4 linked regions of the Alligator mississippiensis genome follow. The protein of the gene in region 3 interacts with the protein of the main gene of each other region in a pairwise test. Links are inferred from orthologs where the notes say so. Each region holds a gene or a part of one and is shown on either strand. Other genes may lie near its edges. The genes, in order: LCP2, EIF3H, NCK2 and HOXC4.

Evidence for each region.
Region 1: the proteins of NCK2 (region 3) and LCP2 interact in binary tests that used the Homo sapiens proteins (3 or more experiments, as listed by UniProt). The two-hybrid records come from large-scale screens. The link is inferred for Alligator mississippiensis from reciprocal best matches to the Homo sapiens genes NCK2 and LCP2.
Region 2: the proteins of NCK2 (region 3) and EIF3H interact in binary tests that used the Homo sapiens proteins (3 or more experiments, as listed by UniProt). The two-hybrid records come from large-scale screens. The link is inferred for Alligator mississippiensis from reciprocal best matches to the Homo sapiens genes NCK2 and EIF3H.
Region 4: the proteins of NCK2 (region 3) and HOXC4 interact in binary tests that used the Homo sapiens proteins (3 or more experiments, as listed by UniProt). The two-hybrid records come from large-scale screens. The link is inferred for Alligator mississippiensis from reciprocal best matches to the Homo sapiens genes NCK2 and HOXC4.

Annotation. Positions count from the first base shown.
Region 1 is NC_081832.1:49,569,557-49,576,512, reverse strand, and holds the start of LCP2 (lymphocyte cytosolic protein 2), read right to left. Parts: upstream 3,014-6,956; 5' UTR 2,786-3,013; coding exon 2,708-2,785; intron 1-2,707. UniProt on the Homo sapiens protein: Adapter protein primarily involved in signaling pathways within T-cells, as well as other immune cells such as platelets, mast cells, and natural killer (NK) cells.
Region 2 is NC_081826.1:24,947,248-24,954,876, reverse strand, and holds the start of EIF3H (eukaryotic translation initiation factor 3 subunit H), read right to left. Parts: upstream 3,003-7,629; 5' UTR 2,971-3,002; coding exon 2,863-2,970; intron 1-2,862.
Region 3 is NC_081824.1:347,833,837-347,841,014, reverse strand, and holds the start of NCK2 (cytoplasmic protein NCK2), read right to left. Parts: upstream 3,023-7,178; 5' UTR 2,742-3,022; intron 1-2,741. UniProt on the Homo sapiens protein: Adapter protein which associates with tyrosine-phosphorylated growth factor receptors or their cellular substrates. Maintains low levels of EIF2S1 phosphorylation by promoting its dephosphorylation by PP1.
Region 4 is NC_081838.1:8,231,768-8,238,755, forward strand, and holds the start of HOXC4 (homeobox protein Hox-C4), read right to left. Parts: upstream 3,004-6,988; 5' UTR 2,499-3,003; intron 52-2,498; exon of another isoform or gene 1-51. UniProt on the Homo sapiens protein: Sequence-specific transcription factor which is part of a developmental regulatory system that provides cells with specific positional identities on the anterior-posterior axis.

The sequences.
Region 1 (6,956 bases), on a different chromosome or scaffold from region 3:
TTAGAAACATTTAGGTCAATCTGGTTTATAATTTCAGATGGAAGTTTTTGGATTTTTATTTCATTTTTTTTGTAAATGTAATTCTTAGCTAAAATGGAAGCACAGATGGATATTTCTGCTGAATATTAAAAATTAGGGAACGTTGTAGAGCTATAGAGAAATAAATACGTGGAAGAGAAAAGATATAATTTTTAACATGAATGAACCAAATTCTCTACTCATATGATCCCTGTTCAAACTCACCAGTGCCAGGAAGATTCCACAGAATGTAAAGCAGCAGTGAATTTGGCCCATTATGTTATAATTTTTTTTATAGAGTGCTAAGCTGAAAGAGGTCATAAGCAATGAGGGGTTTGAGGCTTCCACTCCTTTGGCCTAGTGCATTACAGGAAATGCTACTGTAGCTAAAAAATTCTGCCTAGGAATTCTGAGGAAGGCCCTCTCTCTTAAGGAAATAGTGTGGAGAACATGATACGTGGGGGAACTGGGGTGAGGAACAGGTCCACTTGGATCCTGAAGCTGCCCTCCTTTTTATTTGAATCAAAACTTCCAAGAATTTTTCTTCCATTTTTTTATAAAAAAGCAGCGGAAATATAGTTATGAATTGTTCTGTTGTGAGACAGCAAAATATATTTGTCTTTGGGAATTAATATCTACTGAAAGCACTGGAATAAATCTCTAGGGCAAATAGTCTGCCGCCCTTGCTTAGACAGAGCAGTACTTATTCATATGGAAAGTCCCAAGGAAGTTTACGGAACTAATTGGGAGTGTTGCCTGACAAAGAAGCAGGCTTCATTTTATGGTCATTAAAAGGCTAGGTATGTGGATTTCCAGGCTGGCTTTTTAAAGGAGCATAAGTGATCTGAGTAGCAAATCCTTAGTGAATTTAAGAATCTAACACTCTGTAGGCTTCCAAAAATCGCAGTACAAATACTGAAACACTTTGTGTCAGGGTTCCTGTCAGGTTTTCCCTATAGTCCAGCAAACACAAGGTACTATAGCTTTAAATTGAGCTCTAGGCTATAACACAGTTTTATAATGCACTCAAGTTTATAGTGGGTCCTAAAACTGAAGATATTTAGATACAGGAATTAGCTTACTGGAGACACCATATATGACCAACATTTAACACTTTTCTACCTTTAAAACTAGAGTTACTGTGTTAAGCGTATAATTTTTACAGCACCAAACTAAATGAGACATCCTTACAAAGCATTTTTTTCTTGCTTCCTTTAGAAGCTATTAGTTTCTTTGCTATTAATTTAACATATATATTTTCAGAATTTAAAAAAGTCTTCATGAGATCAATATAGAATACAATGACTTTTTATGGGGCATGTTTTGATTTCTAAAAGATCATTTGAAATTATTTGTGCCACAGATTGTGCTCTTGTTTTAAATAATGTGCGTTTGTGCATCTGAGTAGGCTCATAGGAAAGTAGAGCTGGAAAGGACCTCATAAGGTAATCTAGGCTAGACTCCTGCACAAAATAGGATCATCTCTGACTAAACTATCTCTGCCAAGTGTCTGTCTAACCTGCTTTTGACATTTCCAAGGATGGAGATTCCATGACTTCTCTAGGTAGCCTGTTCCAAAGCCTGAACACCCCTGTACTCAAAAAGTTCCTCCTAATCTCCAACTTAAATTTCCCCTGCTGCAATTTGGGGTCATTGCTCCAAGTCCTGTCCCCTACAGCCCCAGAGAAGAGCCCATTTACATCCATCCTCTCTATAATCGCCCTTCTGATATTCCATGACTGTGATCAAATTTCACCCCCTCCCTCCCACCCCATCCCACCTCAGGCTCCTCTTCTTCAGGCTAAGTAACCCTACTTTTTTCAATCTTTTCTCATAAGTCTGGTCTGTCAAGGCCCCGATCAATTTTGTTGCCCTGCGCTGGACTCTTTTCAAACTGTCCATATCCTTCTTGAAGTGCAGGGCCCAAAACTAGGCACACTAATTTATGTAAATCCTCTCACTATTGCTGAATAGAGTGGAAGAATCCCTTTTCTTGATTTCCAAGTGATACTCCAGTTTATACAAACCCAGGATACTGTTGGATTGTTTTGTAATGAGGGCGCATTGTTGCTTTATATTCAGTTTATGGTCTACTGTAATCCACAGGTCTTTCTCTGCAGTACTGAAGCCTCTGCACTACTGAAGCCTACAGTAATGAAGTCTGTATTTGTGCATGCAGTTATTCTGTCCCAAGTGTAGGACATTGCACTTGTCCCTGTTCAGTTTCATCTGACTGATTCTGTACCATTTCTCCAGTCTGTCCAGGTCATCCTGGATTCTAGCTTTGCCCTCCAGAGTGTCTGAAATTCCACCCAAAGCTTGGTGTTATCCATAAATTTGCTAAGCACACACTCAGTCCTGTCATCCAAATCATTAATGAAGATATTAAACAATACCAGACCCAGGATAGAACCCTGGGGAATCCTTCTTGATACCTCCTCTCAACTAGACATAACATGTAATACATATATATCTATATATATAGACAGGTTATATCTATATCTATAGACTTGTTATGTCTAGTTGAGAGGAGGTATCAAGAAGGATTCCCCAGGGTTCTATATCTATATCTATACATATACATACTATATATATGTGTGTGTGTGTATGTACACACACACACATGCTTAAAGTATGTTACAGTCATTTGTTTTTCAACTATTCGAGGGCAAAACACAGTGAAACTTACTGTTTTAAAGTACTCTGCTAGTTCATCTGGGTTCCAAGCAGCCACATCTGAGCGATAAGGAATGTTTCGCAAATCCATTTTAGTTTTAATTTCCTAGGAGGTTACAGAATTTTCATGCCAAGAGTATTGATGAAACAGCATAGACTTCTTGTCTGAGACCACTTCCAGCAAGTTTAATAATCTCCTTGCCTAATACATGCTCAGAACTTCTTTTGTTAAATACTGACTTCTTATTTCTGAATTATGGTGTAAGAGCATTCAAGAGAGCCCCTGCTTCCTCTCAGTACAAAATGGTCTCTTCTCAGAAAACTTGTCAGCTAGTCAGGCTTACCACTTCCTTTATATGTGAATCTAAATAAGTAAACAAGGAAGCGCAATAACATGTTTAAAATATTCTGCCTGCTGCATGTAAGTGAAATCTGTATGAGCCCTTTTCATCTGAATTTAAGTGGGAAGGGTTGTGTATTTACATGAGATACCCATATAAATATACTGGTACCTAGACTCTGTATTGTGTGCATGTATATACATGAGGATTCCTGAAAAAGACTGTTGCTTTTGAGTTAAATTTGCTTAAGTGCAAATGTAGCCATGCGATACCTAAAAAAATGAGGAAATACCTACATAAAGGAACTTTCTTTTGCATTTCTTGTCACCCCAGATGACAGATTAACTACTTATATTAATAAATACTCCCTTACCTTTCTAACGTGTAAAAATAATAACATGTAAAATAACACATAAAACAAATTCCTCTGGCTCATGCAGTTATGCAAGCTCTTAGCAGTAGTCTCTGAAATAGTTCCATGTATTTTCTACAATCATATGTACATAGTCTGAGCGTATGGTATTTTTTATACACAAGGGTACAGTACCAAGTTAGTGTTACATTTGTGCATGAGGATAGATGCTCAGATATAGTTATGGAGTCAATACATAAACAGTACCTCAGTGATATAAAGTCATAATTAGAACCGGAGGAAATATTTAGAAGTTCCAGGTTTAAATGAATTTTTAAAATTAAATTGTAATGATTTCTCCTGCATTTTATATGCAGGCCTAGTGGTCACCACCCTGAGCCTGAGCAATAAAGTATTGAATTCTGAGATTGGTAGCCTAATTAAAAGCGGGCAACCAGGGAACCAACCTGAGGTATTGACTTCAGGAGTGTGCAAAAACAGCAGCCATTGCTGCTGCTCTCTAGGTTGTTATATTGCTAGCAGCTCAGTTGTAGCTTCTGCCTTGTATGCTACTGCTGCCCAGGGTGCAAAACTGTCCCATTATACCTCTGCATGAGATGATAGGGGTTATGTGACAGACCCCAGAGTTATGATAAATTGATCCTACTGTGTTCCTTTAACTCATCTACACTTCCCACTTTCAGCTTCCTTACTGAGACTGATAATCCAAACTTCCTAGCGGCTTTAAACACATTCCATTAAAAAGATACTTTGAGAAAATTTACTTTATTCTCCCTTCCCCTTGCCCCAAAACAGAATTTCCTCCCAAAGTCATGCTGATACAAGGTGCTGTAGAAGTATTATCCAGTCATGGTTTAGTGACAGGGATGAGGTCTGGTAGTTTATGGGCCTGAGTAGGAATAGTGTTTGCTATACAGTATACCTCTGTCATGTATACCTGCACACTTCACACATTTTGAAAAAATGTTACACCTGATCTGTGTAAAGATGTCTGGGTTTTTTTCTTTGAATAGTGGTTTGTTCGTTTTGATAAATGCATACGACATCATAGACAAATACAGGCTGCTGGGGAAACATAATATTGAATTTCCTGTTGAAATTTTCATCCAAATTTTTGCATTAATGTAATTGTTTATCATGCAATTTCCTGTTGTATTTTATCAGTGGAAAATGTTGGTCACTTGCTCAGATAAAAAGGTTGCCCGCCCAGTGTGAACAGTGTGTCTGTGTGTGTGTGTGTGTCAACTGCCCACCATTACAATGTGGGACAGGGTATTCAGTCACGTGGTAACTGAAATAAAAGATATATTTTTTCCTTTATTTCCAGCTTTAGATTTCAGTTAATTACTCATAATTTCTGCCCTCTCACCATTTCCATAGCTACTTTGTTGTCTTCTCTCCCTATTTCTCTGTAGTCACTGTTGTTCCTCACAATAATAATTCTTCCCCTTTCACCTCACCTATCTGACTCGTCTTTATCTTTGGACCTTAGTGAAAAGGTGAGTAGACCAGGTTGAGTTCCATGATGGCAGGATATTGTAACCAAAATAAGGATTAAAGAGGAGATTTAAAGAGTGGATTTAAGTACTGGGAAGAGAAGGAAAGGTTGAAGGATCTAAGCAGGCCCAGAGGGGTTGGTGGCTAAGGCAGCTTGGAGGGCTTAACTGGTAGGAAGGAGCATAGACTGATCCTTGAGAGAGGTAGTCCGAGCGATAGCTGTGGAAACAATAGTGGGTGGATGAATGAGATGGGGCAAGTAGAAAGCAGTAGAAGGGGAAATAGAGTTGATCAGTCACATCCCCAAACCCACTCAAATTTTGTATGTCCACAAGCAAAGAGAAGTGAAGAACCTTCAAAAAAGAAGGAAAAAGGCATGTGAAGTCTTCAGGAGAGGAGAGTACAAGATAACATCCCTTTCACAGTATGCTATGTTGCATGAATTTTGCATCTCAGAATGTCACCCTTTTGTGAAGACCTGCAGTCCCTTAAAAGTGAGAAATACAGTAAACTCTAGTTAATTAGCCTGTCGGATAATTCACCACTACAGTTTAATTTGGCATTGTTTCAGTTCCCTGCCAGAAACCTTGTCCCCGCAACCCCACCCTCCCATCCCTAGTATCAGCTCCTGATAATCACATCACCACTGTGTTAATTGGTTACTACTGGATATTTCACCAGTAGTAGTATTCTTCTTGGAGTGGGAACGTAACCAATTTACTCATAGTAACTATTACTGGTTACTAGACTGAGATAATTTTATAGCTTTTTATCTGAAAAACCTCCACTGATAATGAACTTCACTTTAGAGGGTAACTCTTCAAGTACTTACAAATATAGGCTAACAATGAAATTGCCCATTGGTTATAGCTACACTGGTTTAAATAGTACTTGAGATTCTTAGTGTTTTGGAGCTGACAGTTCAAAAAGGAAGCCCATACTGCCCACGCTCTTCAGGGTTAAAAAAGCATTAACACTTTCCACCCTCTCTTTCCTGTCTGAGGAAGGCAGAAGATTACATCGTGGATGGACCTTATTGGAAGATGGAACTCATGTCTAACTGCTTTCATAATGACTTTTTCCACAACACATTGGTTTACATTTTCATTTTTCCAGAGCTGTCTCATTGCACACATGAAGCTCATAAATCTTTAAATTAACATGAAGTAAAACTCCACAACCCTACAGAGTTGGACATTTTGTCTTTTTTCTTTTGACCAATTTAGTTTTAATACTCTCCAACTAACAGATCTTCCTCCGCTCTTCCTCCACTGTTCCATCCTCAGTTGCATCTGACTTGAAGGGTTTTTTGAATTTGTCATAATTTTCCCTTTCTTAATGTAATCCCCTTTATTCTATGTTACAAACATTAATACAACGCACACTAAAGAATCCTTGTTTTTTACACCAGTTGGATATCTTTATATTGTTACATATTTCTAGCTATCCCTTCATAATCACTATATGGAACTCTACTTCTGTGATGACCTGTAACTTTTCTTATCTATCAGTTTCTTTCCGCTGTCTAGTAATCGCTTGCTTACCCTTAGTTTCATAGTATCATGGTGCTTAGGGTCGGAAGGGACCTAAACAGATCATCAGGTCTGACCCCCTGCCCTGGGCAGGAATGAGTGCCGGGGTCATAACACCCCAGTCAAATCTCTGTCTAGCCTCCTCTTGAAGATCCCCAGGGGAGGAGATTGTACCACGTCCCTTGGGAGTCCGTTCCAGAGCCTGGCAGCCCTAACCATAAAGTAATGTCTCCTGATGAACCTTCTCTCTAACAGTTTGTGGCCATTATTCCTAGTAACCCCCAGTGGTGCCCGAGAAAACAGGGCTTCACCCAATTTCTGCTGGTCCCCCCTGGTGAGTTTATAAATGGCCACCAGATCCCCTCTCAGCCTTCTCTTGTGGAGGCTGCATAGATTCAGGCCCTTTAGCCTCTCTTCATAGGTCCTGACCCGCTGCCCCTTTACCATGCAAGTGGCCCTCCTCTGGACCCTCTCAATGCTAGCCACATCCCTCTTGAAGTGTGGCACCCAGAACTGGAC
Region 2 (7,629 bases), on a different chromosome or scaffold from region 3:
TTATATCTCTGTCGTGATAAAAGAGCAAAAATTAAGAGCTGGCATTTTCCAAGGGGTGTCTCAAGTCTAACAAGGTTGAGAACCAGTGCTCCACATGAATGATCTGCGCTAGTAATATGACTGTGCCCACAGCTCCATGCAAGAGCCATCACCTTATGTTTTCAGCACGCTGTAGAACCAAGGTGAAGAGTGGTCCATGATCCGATTTGGCAAACCCCAGAAACATTGCTGGGCATCCCAAGAAAATACTCCTTTTCCAAAAGCGGTTTTAATACCTGAATCTGCCTCTCACATTTCTGATTCTGCTTAGCCAAGCTGAAGGCAATGCACTTAACTACTCAGTTTTTATTCTTTTGAAATTTGAGAAAGCAGTAGCCATGGCACCAAGAAACATCTGTGGCCACAGGGAAAAAAAATGTTGATGGCACAAATCTCCCTTACTGAATGGGAGAGGCAACCTAGTGGCAGATGATACAGAAAAGACTGAAGTAGTTAATGCCTTTTTTACCTCAGTCTTCACAGGCAAAGTCAGCTCCCGGACTACTGTACTTGGCAGCACAGTCTGGGGAGAATGTGAGCAGCAAACAGTGGCGAGAGAACAGGTATGGGTAAGGGTGGCCAAATATGGCCTACAGGCTGCATCCAACCAACAATATGATTTTATCTGGCCCCTTGGTCCCCCCCAGTTCAAGGTTGGGGAGCAGCCCAGGTTATGGCATGTGCAGATAGTCCTGCCAGCCCCAGGCACAGAGGTGCCACCTACCGCAGAGCACAGCCTACCCTATCCCCACACACAGCTGTCAAGCACACCAGGAGCTGTAATCCATGGGGTCAGATGGCACAGCAGCAGGACTAGGCTTCCTGGCAGCCCCCACAATGGCAGCTCCCTCTGGCTGCCACTGCTGGACCTGGCCCCACTGGCCAGGCACCCTGGCCCATCTGCCTTACACCCACCACTGGGGGAAGATGAAGCAGAGAGGACATGCACACAGGACACGCTCAGCCAGGTGGATGGGATAGGGCCATGGGAGAACAGGAAGCAGCATCAGGGAGCAGAACAAGCAGGTAGCAGCAGGGCCAAGATTGCGATACGGTGACAGTGCGGGGCTGGGGCCAAGCTGTAATCCACTATCGTCACATCCATGCAATGGGCAGCAGGTCTGCAGGCAAGGGACAGCCGCTGCCCACAGAACTGGCACCCATTGCAGGGATTGTGGCTCTGCCCCAGACCCTGGCCTCACACTGTCACCACCCCATGATCCTGGCCCTGGCTCCTCCCACCTGTCCTGTTCCCCAATTCACTTGCAACCCCATCCCATCCGTCCAGCTGAGCACATCCCACCTGTAGGGTCCCAGGCTAGTCTCCATGAAGACCCTGCCCACCCACTCTGTCCAGCATCCCTGACTGTGGGTGCAGAGCCAACAGGCCTGGGGCCAGATAGATCAATTGTCATTTTCCCGCCCTCACCATGCTAGGTAGTGTGACAAGGTGTCAAGACTGGGTTATCACCCCTTCCTCCCTCCTCCCCTCCCCCCCCACAAGAGCTCACCAAAACTCTGGGTCAGCACCAGCAGTTCTCACCCCCTTCCCAAAACAGCTGACCAAAAGTCCTTAAGTGGCCTCCTAGCCCAAATAATTGGCCACCCCTAGGTTAGGGGCTACTTAGAAAAGCTGGATAAATGCAAATGAGAAGTGAAAAGTGCTGCCTGTAGGACCGAATAATCCCAAGCACCAGTACAGGCTGGGGGCTGACTGGCTGGGCAACGGAAAAGGACCTTGGGGTTACAGTGGACAACAAGCTGAATATGAGCCAGCAGTGTGCCCTTGTTGCAAAGCAGGCTAATGGCTTACTGGGCTGCATTGGTAGGTGTCTTGCCAGTAGGTAAAGGGACATGATTCTTCCCCCCTATTCAGCACTGGTGAGGCCACACCTGGAGTCCTGTGTTCAGTTTTGGGCACCCCACTACAGCAAGCTTGTGGACAAATTAGAAAGAGTCCAGCGGACGGCAACAAAAATGGTGAGGGGCTGGGGGACATGACCTGAGGAGAGGCTGAGGGAACTGGGTTTATTTAGTCTGGAGAAGAGAAGACAGAGGGGATTTGGTAGCAGCCTTTAATTACCTGAAGGCTGGTTCCAAAGAGGATGGAGCTGGACTGTACTCAGTGGTGGCAGATGACAGAACAAGGAGCAATGGTCTCAAGTTGCAGCAAGGGAAGTTTAGGTTAGATATTAGGAAAAACTCTCTCACTAGGCGGGCAGTAAAACACTGGCACAGGTTACCCACAGAGGTAGCAGACTCTCCATCCTCAGAGGCTTTCAAAACCCAGCTAGACAAAGCCTTGGCTGGGATGATCTAGTTGGGGCTGGTCCTGCTCTGACCAGGGGCTGGACCAGATGTGACCTCCTGACATCCCTTCCCACCCTCACTTTCTACGATTCGTTTCCTACGTCTGTTTTTCCCCCGCTGTACCACAAAAGGCCACGCTATGTCCAACCTGCGGCCGAGCGACCGGCTCCCACGGGCCACGAGTGCCGGGTCCTGGGACGGCACCGAGAGCTTGTTGCAGCCAAACGGCATCGTAAGCTTAAAAAGGGGCCGTGCCGCGATCTTGCTTCTCGCCCGTCGCACACGCCTCCCCCTCGTGGCGCGGGGTCGGCAGGGGGAGGGCGGAGCGAGCAGAGCACGCGCGGGGATGCGCGCGGGGCCCCCTCGCAAAGCCCAGCCCTGGGGGCAGCGTCGCGCCCGGCCGCGGGGCCTGGGAGGCCGCAGCGCGCGCGGAGCCGCCCCCGCCTGGCCCACGAGGCTCCCACACGGCCGCCGCCAGCTCAGGCCCGCCCCGCCCCAGCCCCACGCACGCACCAGCCCGTCGATCTGCACTTGCTTGACGGCCGAGTCCCCCGGCGCCGCCTTACTCTTGACTTTGGCGACCGCGGAGCCGGCGGCAGCCGCTTCTTTGCGAGACGCCATCCTCCTGAGCCGGCCGGAAAGTGAAAAGGGAAGCACCGGAAGCGGGGTGGGGCGGCCGGATGTGACGCCGCCAAATGCACTCCGGGCGGAAACCTGGGAGCGGGGACAAAGAGCGCATGCGTACGGAAGCTTCGTGCTCGTGTGAGCGCTGGTAGCGCATACGCAGGAGTTGCTGCCTCGCAGCCTGCAGTACGTGGAGGGGAGCTGCGCTGTTGCCCCGTGTAGCGGGGAAGGGCTCCGCTGGGCGGGGTGCGTGGGGTACCTGCGCAGCCAAAGTCAGTTCCTCCAAACTTAGACAGGGGTGTGCTAGGAGGTGACCCACGCATCTCCATCACATCATAGCGCCTGGCCTTCCAACGCCTAACTTTATCCTTACTACATGGTTAATCTAATAAAAGAGATGGCCCTAAGACATCTTTGGCTTTCATCACCCTTATTATATTATTATTGCTTTTGTATCCAGCCTGCTGCATCCAGAAAAGCACAGAGGCTCTTACAGTAACTGACAAGCAACAGTAGATGCCCCGCATCTAGGGAACGCGCTCCATGACACCTGCTCCTACTTCCCTGCTCCTGACCCTTCAGAGAAAACCCCCAACCCCATCCCATCTGCATTTAGGTATAAGTAGGGTGATTGTAGGTCCCAGATTGAAATCCAGAACTCTCCCTTCCAGAGGCCAAACCTGGCCAGCTGAGCGTCTTGTGTGCAGAGCACAAGCTGGAGCAGTAGAAGCTGTGAAATAGGAAGCCCTAGCAGCAAAATTGCCCGAATGCAGGGGTTCTCAAACTGGGTTGCAACCCCCTGAGGGGTTGAGAGCAACTTAAAAGGGGGTTGCTTGCAAACTTCCCAAGGGTACACGCAGCAGTGCAGGGACATGGTGCACGGTGGCGGTGCAGAGTGCTGGATGGCGGCAGCAGCTGCCGCACACAAGCTCCCCATCCACTTCCGCCACCATCTGGCACTCAGTGTCACAGTATGACAAAGTTTGAGAACCCCTGCACTAATAAGGTTAGCTTAATTGTGAAATGACCATTAAAAAGGAGGGTGTTAACACCTGTGAAAAAAACTGTGGGTCATAAATGGGTCATTGACTCCTTAGCTGTCTGAATACTAATACCAATGGTGCCCTGCCTCTGCCTGCAGCAGCAGAGAGGCGGAGGGTGGGGGTGCAGTGTCCCGGATTTCACACTGTCCCAAATTTCACATTGCCCCATGTGGTCACCCTAGGTATAAGAAATCTTCTTCCACTCAAGACGCTCCCAAGCCCATCCATTCCCCTGCCTCACACCAAGAGATCTCTCCCTCTCCCCACCCAAGACGTCCCTCCTAAGACTGCTCCCCCTCTTCTGCACAGGGTCTGGCCGTTCCAAAAATGTATATGTTCTCTTTCCCCAACAAATACAGTGTTCAAAAGAGCATCAGAAAGATCCTCCATCCTGGCTTTGGTCCTTGCTAAAAGGCAATGCCAAAGGGCACCTAATTGCAACATAAGGAGATGAAAACTTTGCCATTTTGTTTAACATAATGTATACAGTTATTCAACATGATTTAACTTACAGGTGTTTTTAAATGTTGTGTAGTTTGCAGTCAAAGGTGTTCTTAATCTGGAATCAAGCATATAAATGCCCACAAAGTAAAGACTTCAGAGAAACACTCTCAAGCCAAAAATGCAGGTAGGAAGATAGTTTTCACTACTCACTGATGGATCCGCTGACTGGTGACATCACATTTTTGTGGGACAGTTATCTCGTTCTCTGCTTGATGTTATGGTATGTTAGGCATATACAGGTATAACTCATAGAAAAATGGGCTGTGAAAATGGGCATAGAAAATTGGGTTGGAAGGGACCTCAGCAGGTCACCTAGTCCAACCCCCTGCTCAAAGCAGGACCATCCCTAACTACATCATTTCAGACAAGGCTTTGTCTACCTGGGTCTCAAAGACCTCTAAGGATGGAAAAGACCTCTAAACCATCCCAGACAAATGTATGTCTAACCTGCAGCAGCAGGGGGGCGGGTGGGGAGGCATGTGGCTTCACCCCCTCCCCTTCCCCCATGATGCCTGTACCCCCACAGATTCACAGAAGTTTAGGGCTGGTAGGGACTTGATGAGATCATCGGGTCCAGCCCCTGCCTTGCTTTGGGCAGGAAAGACTGCTGGGGTCAAATAACCCCAGCAAGATGTGCATCCAAATAACCCCCCTCAGTGCCTGTTGCCCCCTGCCAAAACAGTGAGCACTACTGTCATGGGAGGAAATCAGGTTGATTAGCCGTGATTAGTTCTTATGAAACCTATATTGGCTGCTTCCTATCAGCCTGCTATCCCTTAGATCAGTGAGGGCTAGGGGTGCACTGGTAGAGATTTTGGGGGCTGATACCAATGGCTGATTTTTAATGAGCCATATCAGCCAATACTCAGCTCAGCAGCATGGAGAGCAGCATCCTGCTGTTAAGTCTGTTGGGGAAGGAGAGAGGGAAGGGGTGTGGAGCTGGCAGATCAAGGCCCCTGTGAAGAGGGATGGAGTAGGGCTGGGGATGGTGCTGGGACAGGGACAGGCACTGCATAACCAGGGTGGGGTGCAGGATGGAGCTGCAGGTCATCCATGGGGGAGGGAGACGGCTGTTTCTGCTGCTGCACGCACCCCGGGAGGACATGGGGGACATGTGCCTCCCTGGATCTGTGCGCAGGGTGAAGGTGGGCTGTCACTGTGGGCTGGAGCTGGGGCTCTTCCCAGCATGGGGGCTGGGCCAGGCTGTGCTTGGGGTGAGTGACAGTGGCACTGTGAAAGGAGCTACAGTGAATTTTGGGGTGGCTGTAGCCCCCCTTCCAGCGCCACCACCGCCCGCTCCGAGCGCAACCCCAGCCCAGCCTCCCCAGCCAGGAAGAGCCTGGCGCTGCCTGCAGCCCCAGCCCACAGTGGCAGCTCGCCCTTGCCCTGTGCACAGATCCAGGGGGCACATGTCCCCCATGCCTTCCTGTGGTGCATGCAGCAGCAGAAGCCACACACTCCCCAGCTCCGTCCCATGCTTTGGTCCATTCTGGCTGGGCAGCGCCTGCCCCAGCCCCACTCCCTCACCACAGAGGCCTTGGTCTGCCCCCCACCACACCCTTTTCTTCCCCCATGCCCCTTCCCCCACAAAAGACTTACCAACTGGATGCTGCTCTCTACACTGCTGGGCTTGCTGTGGCTGTGCACGTGCATGCAGCATTTATTGGCAACATTATCATCCACATCAGCCAAGAAAAGTTGATTGCCGATAATGTCAATTTTCCTTTTATCGGGGCCGCTACCATACGAGACTAATATATCGGTGGACCTCTAGTGGGGGCAACCTTTTTGGCAGGCACACCACAAATTAGCTTCACACCCTCCCTGAGTGCCACTCTGATCCTTTCCTCTGCCCAATTTGCTTCTCTGCTTTCTATTCTCTGCTCTCTGTCTGATTTGCTGTACTGTCTTCTACTTCTTCCCCTATCAACTGTTGTGCTGCCTGTCCCCCTCCCCTCCCCATCTGCCATGTGCCACACACACAAGCGGCCAGTGCCACTTGTGGCAGTTATTCTGCAAGTTGGCTACCCCACCCCTGTTCTAGATTATTACAATCAGTTGTGTGATAATATGTTCCCGTATCTTTCCAGGTATCAAAATGAGACTGACTGGTTGCTAATTTTGTGGGTCATCCTTTTTCCCTTTTGTATGAGCTTCATACATGCACATTTCAGTCTCCTCTGCAATTACTTCAGCCAATTTCTTGAGTAGTCTAGGATGAATCTCATCAGGCCCTGCTAATTGAAAACATCTCACTTATGTAAATAATCTATAATTTATTCTGTCCCACACTAGGCTGAGTACCTGTTCCACTGTTTTAGATGCTGTGTTTGTCATTGAATAGTTGACCTTTTTTTGTGAAGACTGAAGTTAAAAAGGCATTAAACACTTCAGCCTTCTCCATATCATCCATTATTAGCTTCTCCTTCCCATTAAGAGAAACTCACTTTTCTTGATCTCCTTCCTACTTATAATGCATTTAAGGAATGCTTTTTTTTTTAATTCTACATCCATTGCTAGCCTTGGCATTTCGGATTTTGCCCCTACATGTTCAGACTCTTATATTCATCCTGTTAGCATGGCCAAAGTTCTCTTTTGTATAAGTCTTCTTTTAAAGCCTCAGCTCTTATTGAAGAACTGACAGTTTGGGTAAGCAGGCTTATTGCTACACTTCCTGTCCTTCCTGTAGATAGGGAGAGCATGTGTCTTCATTCTCTTAATATTGTCTCTTTAAGGAACAATCAAGTTTCCTGCACTCTTTTTCCCTTAGACTTAGCACCCCTGATCTTGCCAATCAGTTCTCTGGATTTAGTTGGAAGTTTCTTGCTTTTATTCTGCTGTTCTTTTTTCCTCCTCCTCCTTTACAGTCACAGATTTTACCATTTCCTAATCAGTGGTTGTGTCTACATGAGATGCTGACTACGCAGTAGCCCGTGACTACAGTGCAGTAGCACTGTGCGGCAAAAACTGCGACAATGCTGCTGTGCAGTAGTTTCGGGCTACTGCGCAGTCAGCATCACAAAAAAGCTGTTCATACAAGTGCTAAATGGCTGCGCAGTAACAACTGTGCAGTCAGTGTCTCATGTAGATGCGGCCCCTGTCACCTAAA
Region 3 (7,178 bases):
ATCCTGGCTGTTTGCTAGAACATAGTACTAACCATTAATACCTTATAACACCCACCCCCCATTTTAAGTGCATTTAAGTTTTTTCAACCCAGACATTAAATTAATACAAAACAAATGAAACCTTACATTTACTGCATATAGCAGCATTCTTTGGAGAACCTACAATGTTTTCTCTTACACGTGGCCCTCTCGAATTTTACCTACTCTATTATTTTTACACTGACTTCCACCCACTGAAAAAAAAAAGGAAAGAAAGAAAGGAAATCTCAGAAGTTTTTCTGTCACTGGGGGGGGTATACACATTCTGGCAAATGTCACAATTCCGAGCTCCAATTAAACAGAAGTTTTCATGATACGAAATAAATATTTCTGAAATGTTACTACAAGCAATTGGATCACCCTACGTTACTGCTCCTGGAATGGTTTTTAATTAACAGGTTTGGTATTCTCTCTAGACAAGATGTCTTCTTCCTCACTTGAATGTATGAACTTGTAACAGACTACTCTATCTTAAAATTTTGCATCCTGCTGAACCAGGCAACTACACAAAAAGTACTTTAATCTTAGGTTTAACATTTAGCAACCTCTGCTTTATTAACAATGAAAGCATGTTCATTTCTTTTGTAGAACACAATTTACTGATCTCTTCTAAAAAGTAAGTTTTCTTTTCTATTTCATGCTTTCAAATGTTAAAATGTATTCTTTGTACTATTATTTATGGACTAAAAATTAAATCTTACATTTATGTAGCAAGGGTTTTTTTATAATAATTATTTAGAGCTGATTAGGGATTTGTTATTTCACCCACCACTAAAATGTAATCAGTCTAATTTCTTACAAGACAACTAATGTAGCTAATCAAAACAAAGGAAGATGGGAAGAAGGAGTTCCCCAAATAAATGTGCAAGGATCAAAAATGGTGTCTGTCTTGGGAAACCTCAATCAATACCCACACATACAAGTACTACAGATTCTTAAACAGACCCAAGTCATCAAGTTTTCAGCTGCATGAAGAAACAACACAGTGCCCAATAACATCACCATACACTTCATTTTGACTGATTTAAAAGAACAAACAGGGGCTCTTATTAAATTACCCATATGAACTCAAGATTTCTTTGGAGGTCTTCCATATGAAAAGTGACCAAAGCCTACCCTACTTAACTTTTGAGGTTTGAAGAGATTTCATTCTACAAGCTGCAGACTCTATCATTTCTGCACATTGAAAACATGGTAAAAAAGGGCATTGCCTTTAGCTTCAATTTAAGTTTAATAGCAGTCAAAAAGCAGCTTTCCACAGAACAACCCAGCTCTTTTGCAGGGCCTGTCTCTTTAGGACAGAAGCTGTTTTGCTGGTGGAGCACTGTGTCCAATGAGGGAAGAAGCAGAAATAAGAGTGTTCCTTATCCTTCCCCTGCAAAAGCCAAGAGATGATAAAAGGAATAAACTGGTAAAGGCGATCCCCTCCCCCTCCCATGCAACCAGCCAGGAAACTTTAAAAGGAAATGAAGGGGAGGAACAGAAGAGACAGCTAGCCCCTGCAAAAGAGAGAGAAAGAAAGCTAAGAGGGAGCTGGAATTTCAGTTTTTCAGACACTTATTAGGCAGAGGCCAAGGTAGGGAAACCAGGCAGAAGACAAATGACTACATAATCTTTGCATTTCTTTTGCAGGGGAAATCTTGGAGATCACTTAAAAAATTGAGCACACGTGTGTCACTTCTAGGCAGCTGATTCAGATGCAGTTAACAGCAACCACAACAAACAAAACCCCTCACGACTGTTATGTATTGCACGAGACACACACTACCAATCGCCATCCCAATCTTTATAAGAGCAGGACCTCCCTCCATCCCTGCCCAGAGCTGTCGGCAGCTGCCATCCTGGCTCAAGTTCAGCGAGGAATAACTACAAAGGCTGACGTGCCAGCCCCCTTGTTGCCGATACCACCGCTCGGGGCGACCCCAAGCATTTTAGTTTCGACCGCCGTGATGCTACCTTTCCGAAACAATTGAGTCACTTCAAGACCAATTGCCTTTGTTGCCAAGTTAAAAGCACCCTGAGCTGTCTTTAACCCAAACCTGAGCCTACACAGCTGCGTTTGTTCCTGAACGGCTGCTGAAGAACAGCGGTGACAAGTACGGGGGTCACACCACTGCTCAAAGACAATGGCACAGAGCTTAAAAAAAAAAAAGGGGGGGGGGGAGCGGGGGAGGTGACAAGCCCGCAGATGCTGAACACGTTAAACCCTATAAAGCTGCTTCACTGAGGGCACAAGAAGCTGAGTCCCGCCCAAAGCGCGGGTCTCTTGAAGGGACACCCGTGTCCTTAAGGCTGAAGCGAGCAGAGGCCACAGGGATCGGGCCCGAGGAAGGGAGCAGGGGCCGAAACGGGACACGGCTGCAGCCGAAGGGTAGGAGGTGGCAGAGCGGAAAGCAACGGAGCCCCCGTCTCGGTCCCAGTCGGATGAGGCCCGAGGGACGCGGGCAGACCCCTCGCGAGAGGCGGAGGAGGGGGCTCCGCTCCCGCACACCTGCGCCCCGCGGCCCCTCCCCTCGCCAAGTTTCCCAGGCCCCGGCTCCGCCCCGCCCCGGCCCGTGACCCCCGACCCAGGCCGCCGCGGGCGGGACGTGGCGGGAGCAGCGCCCCCCACACCCGCAGGTGAGCCCGGCCGGGGCCTCCTTTCCCCTCCCCTCCCTTCCCTTCCCGTCCCGGCAGCGGGCAAGGGCCGAGGCCGCGCCTACCTGGGGGCAGCGGCGGCGGCGTCTCCCCGGCGGGCTCCGCTCTTTGTCTCGGCGGGTCCCGCTCCCCCTCCCGTCGGCGGCGGATGCAGCAGCAGCGGCCGCCTCCTTCTTCCCGCGGGGCCGCCCCCCACCCGCCCCTCCCGGACGGACGCGCTGCCCCAGGCCCCGGCTGCTGCCTCGCTCAGCCCCGCGGCGGCGGCATCGGCCCCTCCTCCGTGCTTGCCTCTTCCCTTCCTGCCGCGGCCGCTGCCGGGATCCGTGGGGCGGGGGAAGGGGGCGGCCTCTGAGCCCGCCCTCCCTCGCCCGGGCTCCCGCCCCGCCCCCGCCATGGAGACGCCCAGTCCCTCCTAGGCCTTGCACACGCCCCGCCCCCCACAACCGGGCGCTCGGGGGTAAAGCCCCGCCCCTTTACGGGGGGGGGGGGGGAAGCAACACAGGGCTGCACAAAGCCCCTGAATCGGCGTTTCTCACACACGGGCCGAGACCGTTTGTCCGATTCAACTGCAGCCCGAGCTATAAATAGCCCAAAGATTACCGCCCCCTCCAGACCCACCCATTGGCGCTTCCTGTGTGACGTCATCCCGGGAGCCCCGCCTTTAGAAAGACGCAAGGGGCATGGTAGGGAGGGACGCCCGTTCTGAGGGCTCCCTCCCCAACCCAGACATGCCCGGCGCTGCCCCATTAGGCCTTCCCCGTGACGTCAGCCGCGGGAGCCCCACCCCCTCAAGGCGGCCCGGGACCTAAGGGGGAAAGCCGGCTGCGAGGGGGCGGGGCTGTCCCGTGGGGCGGGGCGAGCTGGGCTCTGTCGGTGCTCGCCTCAGCGGGCGGGATAGGCTGGGAGGGCGAGAGTGTGGTGAGGGCGGGGTGACTGGTTTTCTCTGATTTAAAAAGAAATCCCCAATTTTGGCAGTAAAAAAAGTAACCCAAATCCACATTTTTCTGTGATTAAAATGAAACATCACTATATATATAGTAACCCAAATATATATATATATATATATATAGTAACTATATAGTACCTATAGTAACCAACTATGTACTCTATATATAGTATATATAGTAACCCATATCTATTTATAGTATAGTATATATAGTAACTATATACTATATATATTGACCCAAATATATATATATGTATACATATATATCTACTAACCCCAAATATGAAACAGCACTAATATATAAATAGATATAGTGGTGTTTCATTTTAATCATGGAACATGTGGATTTTGGGTTACTTTTTATACTTGGAAAATTGGGGATTTTTTTTTTTTTTTTAAATCGGAGAAAACCAGTATCCCTGCTCATCAGATTGGCATTGTCAGATCCCAGCAGCTTGGCCTCTCCTGACTTGTTCCCTTGTCGACTTGCAGACTTTGCATTTAAACGTGTTTGCTAGGGTTACTCTCGCCCCCACCCCCATGCCAAGGGCAGGTCCAAGGGTGCAGGTGCCATGGTGCAGCTATACCCTGCATCCAAAATTTTAAAGCCAACTGCCTGGCAATGATGGCAGCATTGCTAGACGGAGCCAACTGACTTCATGGTTCATCTTGTGGGCTAAGATCAAGTGTAGCCGCTGCACTGGTCTGTTGCCCAGACGGAGAGGGATTTAAATGGCATTATGTAGTGAAGGGTGCACCCCTGTCCAATGCAGAGGACAGGACGCCCTCTAAGAGTCTTGTAATTAGCTTCCCAGTGCCCAGCTTCCAGTGGGAGGATCTTGGCTACACACTTACTTTATGGAAATGGGGGGACTCCTCCCAACCATGCTCCTGTGGTCATTGGCTAAGGACAAGTGAGACTCAGGGGCATGCAAACCCTAAGCCCTCCAGTCTTGGGCCTGCATGTAGGATGCCTGCCAATGGATTTGGGAGTATCTGAAGCCCCAGGCTGAAAAGTCTGGGGTGGAGGATACTTGCGGGTTATAGCCCCACATATAGTGTTTGAACAACTGAATGTTGCTTAATCGAGAGGATTCAGAACTGATTTGGCTAATTCAACTTGGAATACAAAAAATTTTCCAAAAAAAAAATCTCTCCTCCCCTTCAGGTTTTAAGGACACCCTCCCCTTTCCAATGGTCCTGATGTTCCACTCTTCAAACTATCCTTGCTTTTGCAATGTTGTGATGTCTCTAAACTATTCCAGGGAATGCCACTCTTCCATTTCACAACCCTACAGACTGTTTTTAGCTCTAGCTAAAAAACTTAACTCGGGTGTAATAAAATTAACTCAGGTTGTGACAGTGAAGTATCAGAGGCACTGTTCAGACACTGAAGAAGGCTAGATTTTGTGTTAGGCAGAAAAGGTTCTTTGGGTAGATATGGTATCTTTTATTAAACCAACTAAATAGTTGAGGAAATTATTCTTTCCAAGCTTTCGGGCACAAACACCCTTCTTCAGGCATGGGGAGAGTTTGTGTTATGAATTTGAGTGAGAGATGCATATTGAACTAAAATGACCACGGAACTAGTGACACAAAAGGACCTGGGGGTTACAGTGGACAATAAGCTGGATATGAACCAATAGTGTGCCCTTGTTGCCAAGAAAGCTAACAGCATACTGGACTCCATTAATAGGAGTGTTGCCAGAAGAGAAGGGAATAACCAGTTCTCTCAATATTTAGCACTGGTGAGCTCACATCTCAAGTACTGTGCCCAGTTTTGCACATCCCTCCCGCCCCCCTCCAGAAAGGATGCAGACAAATTGGAGAGTCTAGAGGAGGACAACGAGAATGGCTTGGGGGCTAGAGCACAGGACTTATGAGGAGAGGCTGAGGGAACTGGGCTTATTTAGTCTGGAGAAGAAAAGGTTGAGACGGGATTGAATAGCAGTGTTCAGCTACCTGAAGGGTGTTTCCAAAGAGGATATAGCTAGACTGCTCTCAGTGGTGGCAGACGACAGAAATAGGAGAAATGGTTTCAAGTTGCAGCAAGAGAAGTTTAAGTTAGATATTATGAAAAACTCTCACCAGGGTGGAAGTACAGCACTGGAACAAACATGTTGTGGAAGCTCCATCCTTGGAGGTTTTTAAAGCCTGGCTATAGTAAGCTTTGACTGGGGTCATCTAGCTGGGGATGGTCCTGCTTTGAGCAGGGGGTTGGACTAGATGACTTTCTGAGGTTGCTTCCAACCCTCATTTGCTCTGATTTTATGATTCTATCTTTAGACTCTTTTTTTGCCATGCTTCTTATATATTTTTAAACTGTATATATAATCTAGCAAATTTGTGCACATACCAATAATTATATTTGCTTTTGCTTTGATCTTAAACTGAGTAATATAGTGCTAGCCCCCTAGTATATCAGTTAAGCATCTAGTTTCTCTTTAACTGGAGAAAAATGCGTTGTGCTATATGTGATGATGTGCCACACATCTGCATCCCCCCCTTTTCAAAATCCTAGATCTGTCCATGTTTGCCACCCCTAACAAGAAGAAATAAGTCTGTATGCAAGCCAGGAATGCTTATGAAGTCAGTTGACTGTTTTTTTCTTAAATAAAAACTTCTTCAGAAAAAACCCACAACATGCATATTACAACAGAGTGTAGCTGTGCCTCAGTAAAATGAGTTGTTTTGCTTTCCACATGAGACACAGTATGTGCGTTTTGTCAACCTATGTCCTGAGTTTAAAACAAAAGGTGCACTGTTTTTCTGCTTTGCAAACCTGTATGGAATCAGGAATGCCTTCGGGGAGGCAGTACCATGTATTGCAGACGTAGGCAATGCTTTCCTTTGTTAAGATATCAAGACAACAGATTATTTTTATTTATTTTTTTATTAGAAACTTAAAAATGATGAAAGGATTTTCTCACAATACCTGTTTAAAAGAAAAAACGTTATTAGAAAATGTTAAAAAGTATAGTTATTACATGACTTAGTAGAGTTGGAAGACAATACAGGACCTTGTGCATAAGTACATATTTGGTGTATGTTAATGCAATCCAAGATGTGCAGTTTAGCCATATATTCTGGCTGAAACCAAGCATGGAAAAATTCAACCTAAAAGTAGAATTTCTTCTTTAAAAAGTTACTATTTGGGATCCAATTTTGCCATAATTTCTGGAAGCAGACCCCTCTGCCCACATGAAGCCCGCTAATTTTTTTTTTTTAATCATTGGGGGTTTAGGTGAGTGGAGAAGGCCAAAATAGCGGGACTTTAGCAAGTAATATTAAAGTTATGGAGGAAGGAAGTTACTTTAAAACTTTAATAAGTTGTGTGCGGGCCGGGAGCGATCCGGGGCCCTTTTTCCGTGCCTCGGGCTTTGGCCAGCAGCCCAGACACGCTGGGTCGGAGAAAGCAGGCGACACGCTAGAATTAGGCATGGACGCTTAGTGGTTGATTCAAGATTGTTTACTTACACCGTAGATGGTCGCAGTGTAGGCTGGAAAGTTTCCCAGGTAAAGCTCCGCTTAAATCCCCATTTGAGGACTCAGACAA
Region 4 (6,988 bases), on a different chromosome or scaffold from region 3:
CTATTTCTGTAATCATGTGGTTCCAATAAACGCTCATTGTTTGCCCATAAACTGTCTTTACGACTTCAGAGATCGCAGCAAACAGTCTCCCATCGTGTTTGCAGAAACAAAACCAAGGCAGAGTTGTCTCCCTGGCTTCCCACCCCCAGCTCAGGATACACTCGTGCTCTCCTTTAAAGAAATAAAATCATCTCAGGAATGAGCCTGCCAGAAATTGCCCCCTCGAAAGACGCCAAATAAAACTCGCCTCTTTTTTTTCCCCCATTCATTAGAAAGCAACTGTTTTCAATTTACCAGGTCGCATGGCTCTTGCATGAACCGAAGACGCCGGCAATTTTTCGAATCATAATAGTAATAGCAGTAATAATAATAATAACATAATACTAACATGAATAGCAGCAATAATAATAGTAGTAGTAACAATAATGATAGTGATGACGATGGTAGTAGTAGTAATAATAGTAATAATAACAACAATAATAATAATACACGGCAGGAATGATCAGGTGGATTTAACAATATTTCTCAAAACAACCTTTAAGACAAAGGATAGAAGCACATGTCCCTTTTTGAACCCTAGCAAGTTCTTCCTCTCCTTTTTTTTTTTTTTTAATAGTTATTTTTTTCCACGCCACACAGAGAAATCAAATTAAGAATCAGTCCCAGGGAACTTCTAAACCACTCAGATCACTTTAGATAACCTCTGGCGAGTTCCCACTGGAAATTAAAGGACAGAAGAGGCCGTATTTTTTTGTAACCCAGGAAAGCAGAAAGTATCCCTCCGTTGCACGGTTTAAGCCTGAACTCAATCAGCTTGAGAGGTCCTTTCGATAAGGCGATCAATCCATATATTGCATTCATATAGCTGGGACCCCTCAATAATTTATAAGAAGGCAGGGACCAGCAATTTTTTTTGCCACCCTTCCCCCCTTCCCAGCCCATAGTCACAACAACGTCTGTTTTATCTTTTACTTTATGGTATCATTTTATATGCCCACCATTTTATACTGTGACTTCCAGCCACAGGAGTTTCGACTGCAAACACAGACACACAGTTCACGAAAAGCCGGCATGCCGAGGGGATAAGAAGGAGGAAAAAAAGAAGAGAAAAGAAAATTAAGCTAGAACAGCGCATCCCTTAAGTGAAACCAATACGTGGATCGCTTTCTATAGTAGTGTGGACAGCCTGATATATAGAGAGCTAGAGATATATGGAGAGCTGATATAGAGAGCTAGAGATGGTAGGTATCTAGAGATAGATAGATAGATAGATAGATAGATAGATAGATAGATAGATAGATAGATAGATAGATAGATAGATAGATAGATAGAGATGTGTCTGTGCGTGTGTAAGAAGAAAGTCTCCTTTCCATTGCACTCACTAAAGGTCCTTCAGGAGGAAAAGGTATTCAAAGACAAGGGGGAAATAGATGCTGAATAAAACTCTAGGGGGTCAACATCATGGGAAACCCAGGTGGAATTAGCAGGAGCACCCTCATGTAAAAAGATGCCTGCAACTTGTGTCCATAGGGAGCAGAGCCGGGAGAAAAGGTTTGCAATCTCCTGCCGAGGGCCAGGAGCACAATAGGGGGAGAAGAACCGGGTTCGTGGGAAGCTCCCAGCCCAGCCGCCGGGTGTGAGTGGAGGTACGGATGGGAGGGTGAGCACAGGATGGGTGTTTTCTTCTTCTTTTTTTTTTTTTTTTTGGTGGTGGGGGGTGGGAAGAAATTCGGAATAAAACCAGGCAGACGAACCTGGCCTTAAATCATGTGCTGGAGGCAGTGGGGGCTGGGCGTGCAAGGCCGTGTTTGTTGCACGCACACACACTCACACATCCCCCCCCCCCCGCCATAATTGCTCATTAAAAATGGCACAAACCGCTTGAGTGAGACGGCGGCTGCTAGGACGCTTCCTGGATGCGGCTCGCGGCCCGCACTGCGCATGTGTGCTCAGTAGACACCCCCTGATTTCCTCTTATGAAAAGTTTGGGGATTCTTTTATATAGAGAACTATATGGAGGTATTGGCTCTGGTGCTTAGGGCTTGCAATCCACAGCTGGCCCCTGCCCTCTCTGCCCACCCCCCTCTTATTCCCTCCCCCACCCAACACCCATCTTGCAATCCCCCCCCCCTTTAATTTTAACTAGTAGATGGTCCATCGGATGCATCTGAGGCCTTCCAGCAACACCCCCTCCCCTCTCCCCACACACACCCCCCGCCACCCCCGTGAACACTGCACCATTGTCAATGCAAAAGCAGGCTGCAGCAAGCATCCCTGGCTGTCTCCAGCAAACCAGATCGGCACAAATGTGACATCAGCAGGAGCAAGCCCCTCTTCCCCCGAATTAACTGCATTGGTGCCGAAGCCCAGCACAAGTCTACCATATCCAAGCTACACCCCTCGCTCGCAAAAAAAAAAAACCCCGATGCATCATTATCTTTAACACCCATTGCTATGGATCATTAGTTACACATTTTAGCCAATAAGGGAACACTTACCAACGTTGCCTGTCTCCCCCTCTCCCTGTCTCTCTCTGTCTCTCTCTCTCTCTTTCTCTCTCTCTCTCTTTCTGATCCACTGACGCTGCAGCTCAGCTCCACAGAAACATTTTTTTTTAAAAAAAAGGAAAAATAATCATAATAATCATATAAAAAAATAAGAAAGATGGAAACCAAAGCGAAACAGTTTCTTCTCTGCTTGGACAGGGGATGGGGGGAGCTTAGCAAGGCATAGCATGGGGTTTTTTTCCCTAAAAAAGAAAAAAAAAGGGAAAAAAAAACGGTATTTACAACTCCTTCTGCCCCTGTTCACTGCATCGTCCAAAGGAAATATACTGCGTTTTGCCCCTAGGGGTTGAGAAAAGGAAGCAAGCACGAGACGCAGCAGTAAACACATTATATCCCAAAATGCCCAAGGCAACCAACACTTCCAACCCCAAGGAGAGGAAAAAAAAAATCTAGATCTCAAAAAAAATAATAATAATGATGCTAATAATGAGGGGGGAAAAATACCATCCTACCCCTGGCACTGCTTGGACTGTTAAAGGAAGGACTACTGCGAAAGAGTCATAAGAGAAACCACAATAAAAAGTTCACGTTCATGGATGGAGTCCACATGACTTCCTGTGGCCAATCCAACTTGTGATTCAGTCGTAAACTTTTATTGCTTAGCTGTAAATTTTCTGCAAACAACCAGGAATGCATTGCATTTTTGTGACGAGTGCAAATGCTCTCCTCTGTCGCCATGTTTATACAATTCTTTTTTAATATTAGTATTTTTTTTTAAAAAGCCTTCTCTCTCCCGTCCCCCCCCCCCCGCCCAGTTTCATTAAAGGGAACAAATTAATATCGGGGATTTTCAAAGAGCGAGGTTGCCTCGTCACGTCTGAGCTGCCTTGTTGAAGGATCAGCCGGACTTGTTGTTGTTGTTGGGTTTTTAAGGCAGGGAGATTTGGCCTTATGCGCCGTGTTCATTTGGTTAATTAATTAAGTGTCTTAGTGGAATGAGCACGAAGGAGGCAAAGAGGGGAAATAGGGATATTGCGGGGAATTGAAATAATAATAATCATCATCATACAATGATCAACCCCTGTTAAATTCAAGCAGAGCTAGGAATAAAGACCACTGAGTTGGGTTGTGGGTTTTCTTGAATTTCCACCAAGGGTGTGTCCGCTTGGATGTCGGGGCTGAGCCCCAATTTCCTTCGGGTTTTCCTCCATATCCTCTGTGCTACATAACCGAGCCCTCTAACTCAACACTAAAGATATGGGAAGGATCATATTATTAACCTCCAAAGGGGAGCAGCTAATGCCGTATTTCCCCAGCAATTTCCTTTAATTTTTTTTGCCTTCATTTTTATGGCGGTATTTTTTTTGTGTATGTGTAATTAATTAATTCCTTCCCAATTATAGGATGGCGTGGTGGGATTCTTTTATTTTTAATCACGGCGTGTCTGGAAATCCTAGCTAGAACTTGTCTGTGAGCCCTCATCCCTTTATCGCACAAGGTTGGTGGTGGGTTTTTTTTTTTGGGGGGGGTGCATATTTTGTATCAGGAATTATTTTTTTTTATTTTGATATTTGGATTTGGGGGGTTAAGCCGATATAAGAAAAACAGACATTTGGTGCTAGGGCAAAAAAATGTTGTCATGTAGAGGCCTGCTAGGAGCATGTGACGAGTCCCATAACCTTTGCAAATCGCCCAGCATTCTTAGTTAGATCTGCTAGTTCAGATTAAATGTTGCACTTCTTCCTCCTTCCCCCCCCTCCACCCCCACCCCTGAAATATTTTGACCATCTCAACTCGCTTCAGGGCTAGACACAAGAGCCAGGACAAAGATTGGAGAGATAAGACTACCACAAAAAAAAATCACCGCATTTTTGTCGCAATAGTAGGACTCAAGGGCTCTACACATATCTCCCCCCTCTGCTCTCGTATTATAGAGAAAGGTCAATTCTGCAGGTATTTCTCATCGCTTTGCCTTTATTTGCTTATTTTCAGCTAAGGGCAGGGGGGTTGCGGGGGGTGGGGGGGAGGGCGCACGCGTGTGTGTCTGTCTGTCCAAACAACACAAAGGTTGCAATACAACCGGATGGAAGGGAAATTACTTTATTCACTTTACAAACCACCAATAAATTTTATAACAGGTAGTTAAAAGTTACGAGCGGGGAGCCAGCGGCACAACAGCGCCCGGAACACAATGGACTTGCCATTTTCCAAAGCAGCAGACGAGAGAAAAGAATCCATAAAATGAACAGGACATTTTATCTTTTGCAAGGAAAAAAAAAAAAACAACGAGGAAAAAAAAAAATCCCCAACAACCCCACAACCTGCCCGACCCGTTTCCAAAGCAGTCTTTCGGCCCATTATTTTAATATGACCTTTCTACAGGATCTCAGCCCCATGCAACGCTGCTTTTCCACTTCTTGGGCTGGAATGAAATATTAGAAAAGGTCTCTTTTCTTGTTATCCCCCCCCCTCCCCTTTCTCTTCAAGGAAAAGCCAATTTTGGGGGAGAAATGGGGTGAAGTGAGGAAAAAAATTGAAGCCAGGTGGGGAAAAAAAATCTCCCCTTCCCCAAGTTTCTCAAACTTTCTTATTTGTACCCACCCCCTTCCGAGCTGTGTTGGGTGTTGGCAAAAGATGCATATACACATAACGCCTGAGAAATTCGTTGCCTCTCCAATATAATCTGCGCCCATATTCCGGTATAAAATCTAAACGAATTTTTGAGCCTAATGGATGCATTCTCGTGGAGCGGCGGCTGTGATTAGAATAATAAATTAAGGCAAAATGAGCAATAAGCTGCAGATCAGCTTTTCGCGGAATTATATTTTTCACAAATCACAAATGGAGATCCGAAGGAAATTTGATTGGCTAATAAAAAGCGTGGAATAGGATGATATTTCTTACTGCAGGCGGCTAGATGAGTCTAATTTCAGTAATGTCGAAGCGATGATCATTTCGGTATAAGCCACTTTGTGAGGAGCGCATCTTCTTTGAAATTACTTTCCCCTCATAAAATGGCTCTTTTTTTTCCTCCTCCCCCCCCCTCTTTTTTCTCTCTCGAAATGATGGGATGATTGAGAAAATCACTGGATGGCAGCTGAAGATGCGACTCTGTTGTGTTGACTGCAGCCCATAAACAGTTAGCCAAAAAAAAAAAAGAGGGGGGGAACTGCTTGACTTGTAGTTTCAATAATTTCCCTTCAGACCCTTGCGCAGATAAATGTCGTTCTGTATTATTTGTGCCTATCAAACTACTTAGAGCCGGGGGTTTAAATATGATGGATAGAGAACGCCGCCAACGTTTTCTTGTATTTTATTTTATTTTTAAATGAGATATGTTCTCGCTCTTGCCTAATCCCCGTGAACAAAAATAATAATAATAATAATCTGGGTATTTCCTATGTAAGATTTCATCAAAATCTTTTTTTTTTCCCCTCCCCAAAAGGCAGGAGTTTAGAAATAGCCCTGAGGGACTTCGCTTGAATTTGCCTGCTAACATTGATGCAGAGGTGCACAGACGCCTTGCACTGTAGCAAGGGGAAGATAACTACCGGGTTGTAAATGCCAGAAGAATAACCCTGAAGATGATACCTCAGTTCAAATAAACCCGTCTGGCTTATGGCTAATAAACCAGCCTACCTTAAGTGGCTACTTTGGCAAGAGCGAAGGCTATAGCGAGCCTTATTTTATTTCTGTAGCTCTTCCAAGGAGAAAACGAGTTGATAAGCACGTCTGTTTGCCCTACAATAAGCAGCCGACTAGAAACGGTTGGGTGTGCGGTACAGCCGTGTTGCGTGTGTTGTGTGCGGTTCCAGGGCTCGGAGGTGTGTGCATGCTGGGATGCAGGGATCAGATGCCTGCAGACAGACAGACACACTTCCCTTGCCCGCACACCCTGCAAGCAAGCACGCACTCCTTCGCCCCGCATGGACACACACCTTGTGTGTGGTGCTCTCTTGAACCTGCAGACACCCTGGCACACGGGTCTAGCCCCACACACGCCGTGTCGCACATTCACAGGCACCAGAGGGGAGAGGGGAGGCTGGGTAAGCGCACGGGTCCACATTGAAGTCATGCTTTAATACGGGATGAAACCCGCAGCCGAGCCCTGCCTCTTGCTGGGGATCTGAGCAGTGTCCAGCCTTGCCCATCACCGAGGCATTTAAATCCTTTAAGCTTCGTGTTTTGGGTTAGGAATGTCCCACGCAAACCCCAGACGCTGTGCAGTGAATCAATGCATCCTAGGAATTTTGTGCTTGCTTATCTCTCCTATCTGGGTAAACAACCCGTCTACTTTTATTTCCTCTTGCCCTATATGATGTAGTCCATTTAGAGCAGGGAGAGGGGAAAACAAGAGATGGAAAGATTTCACAGCCCCATCTCCATCGCTGAGCGAAAGGAAGACGAGCGCAAGGGAAATATTTGCAATGTCTTAGTTATTCCAACTCTCCAAGAGAACTGAAGGCACCGCGGTGGGGTTA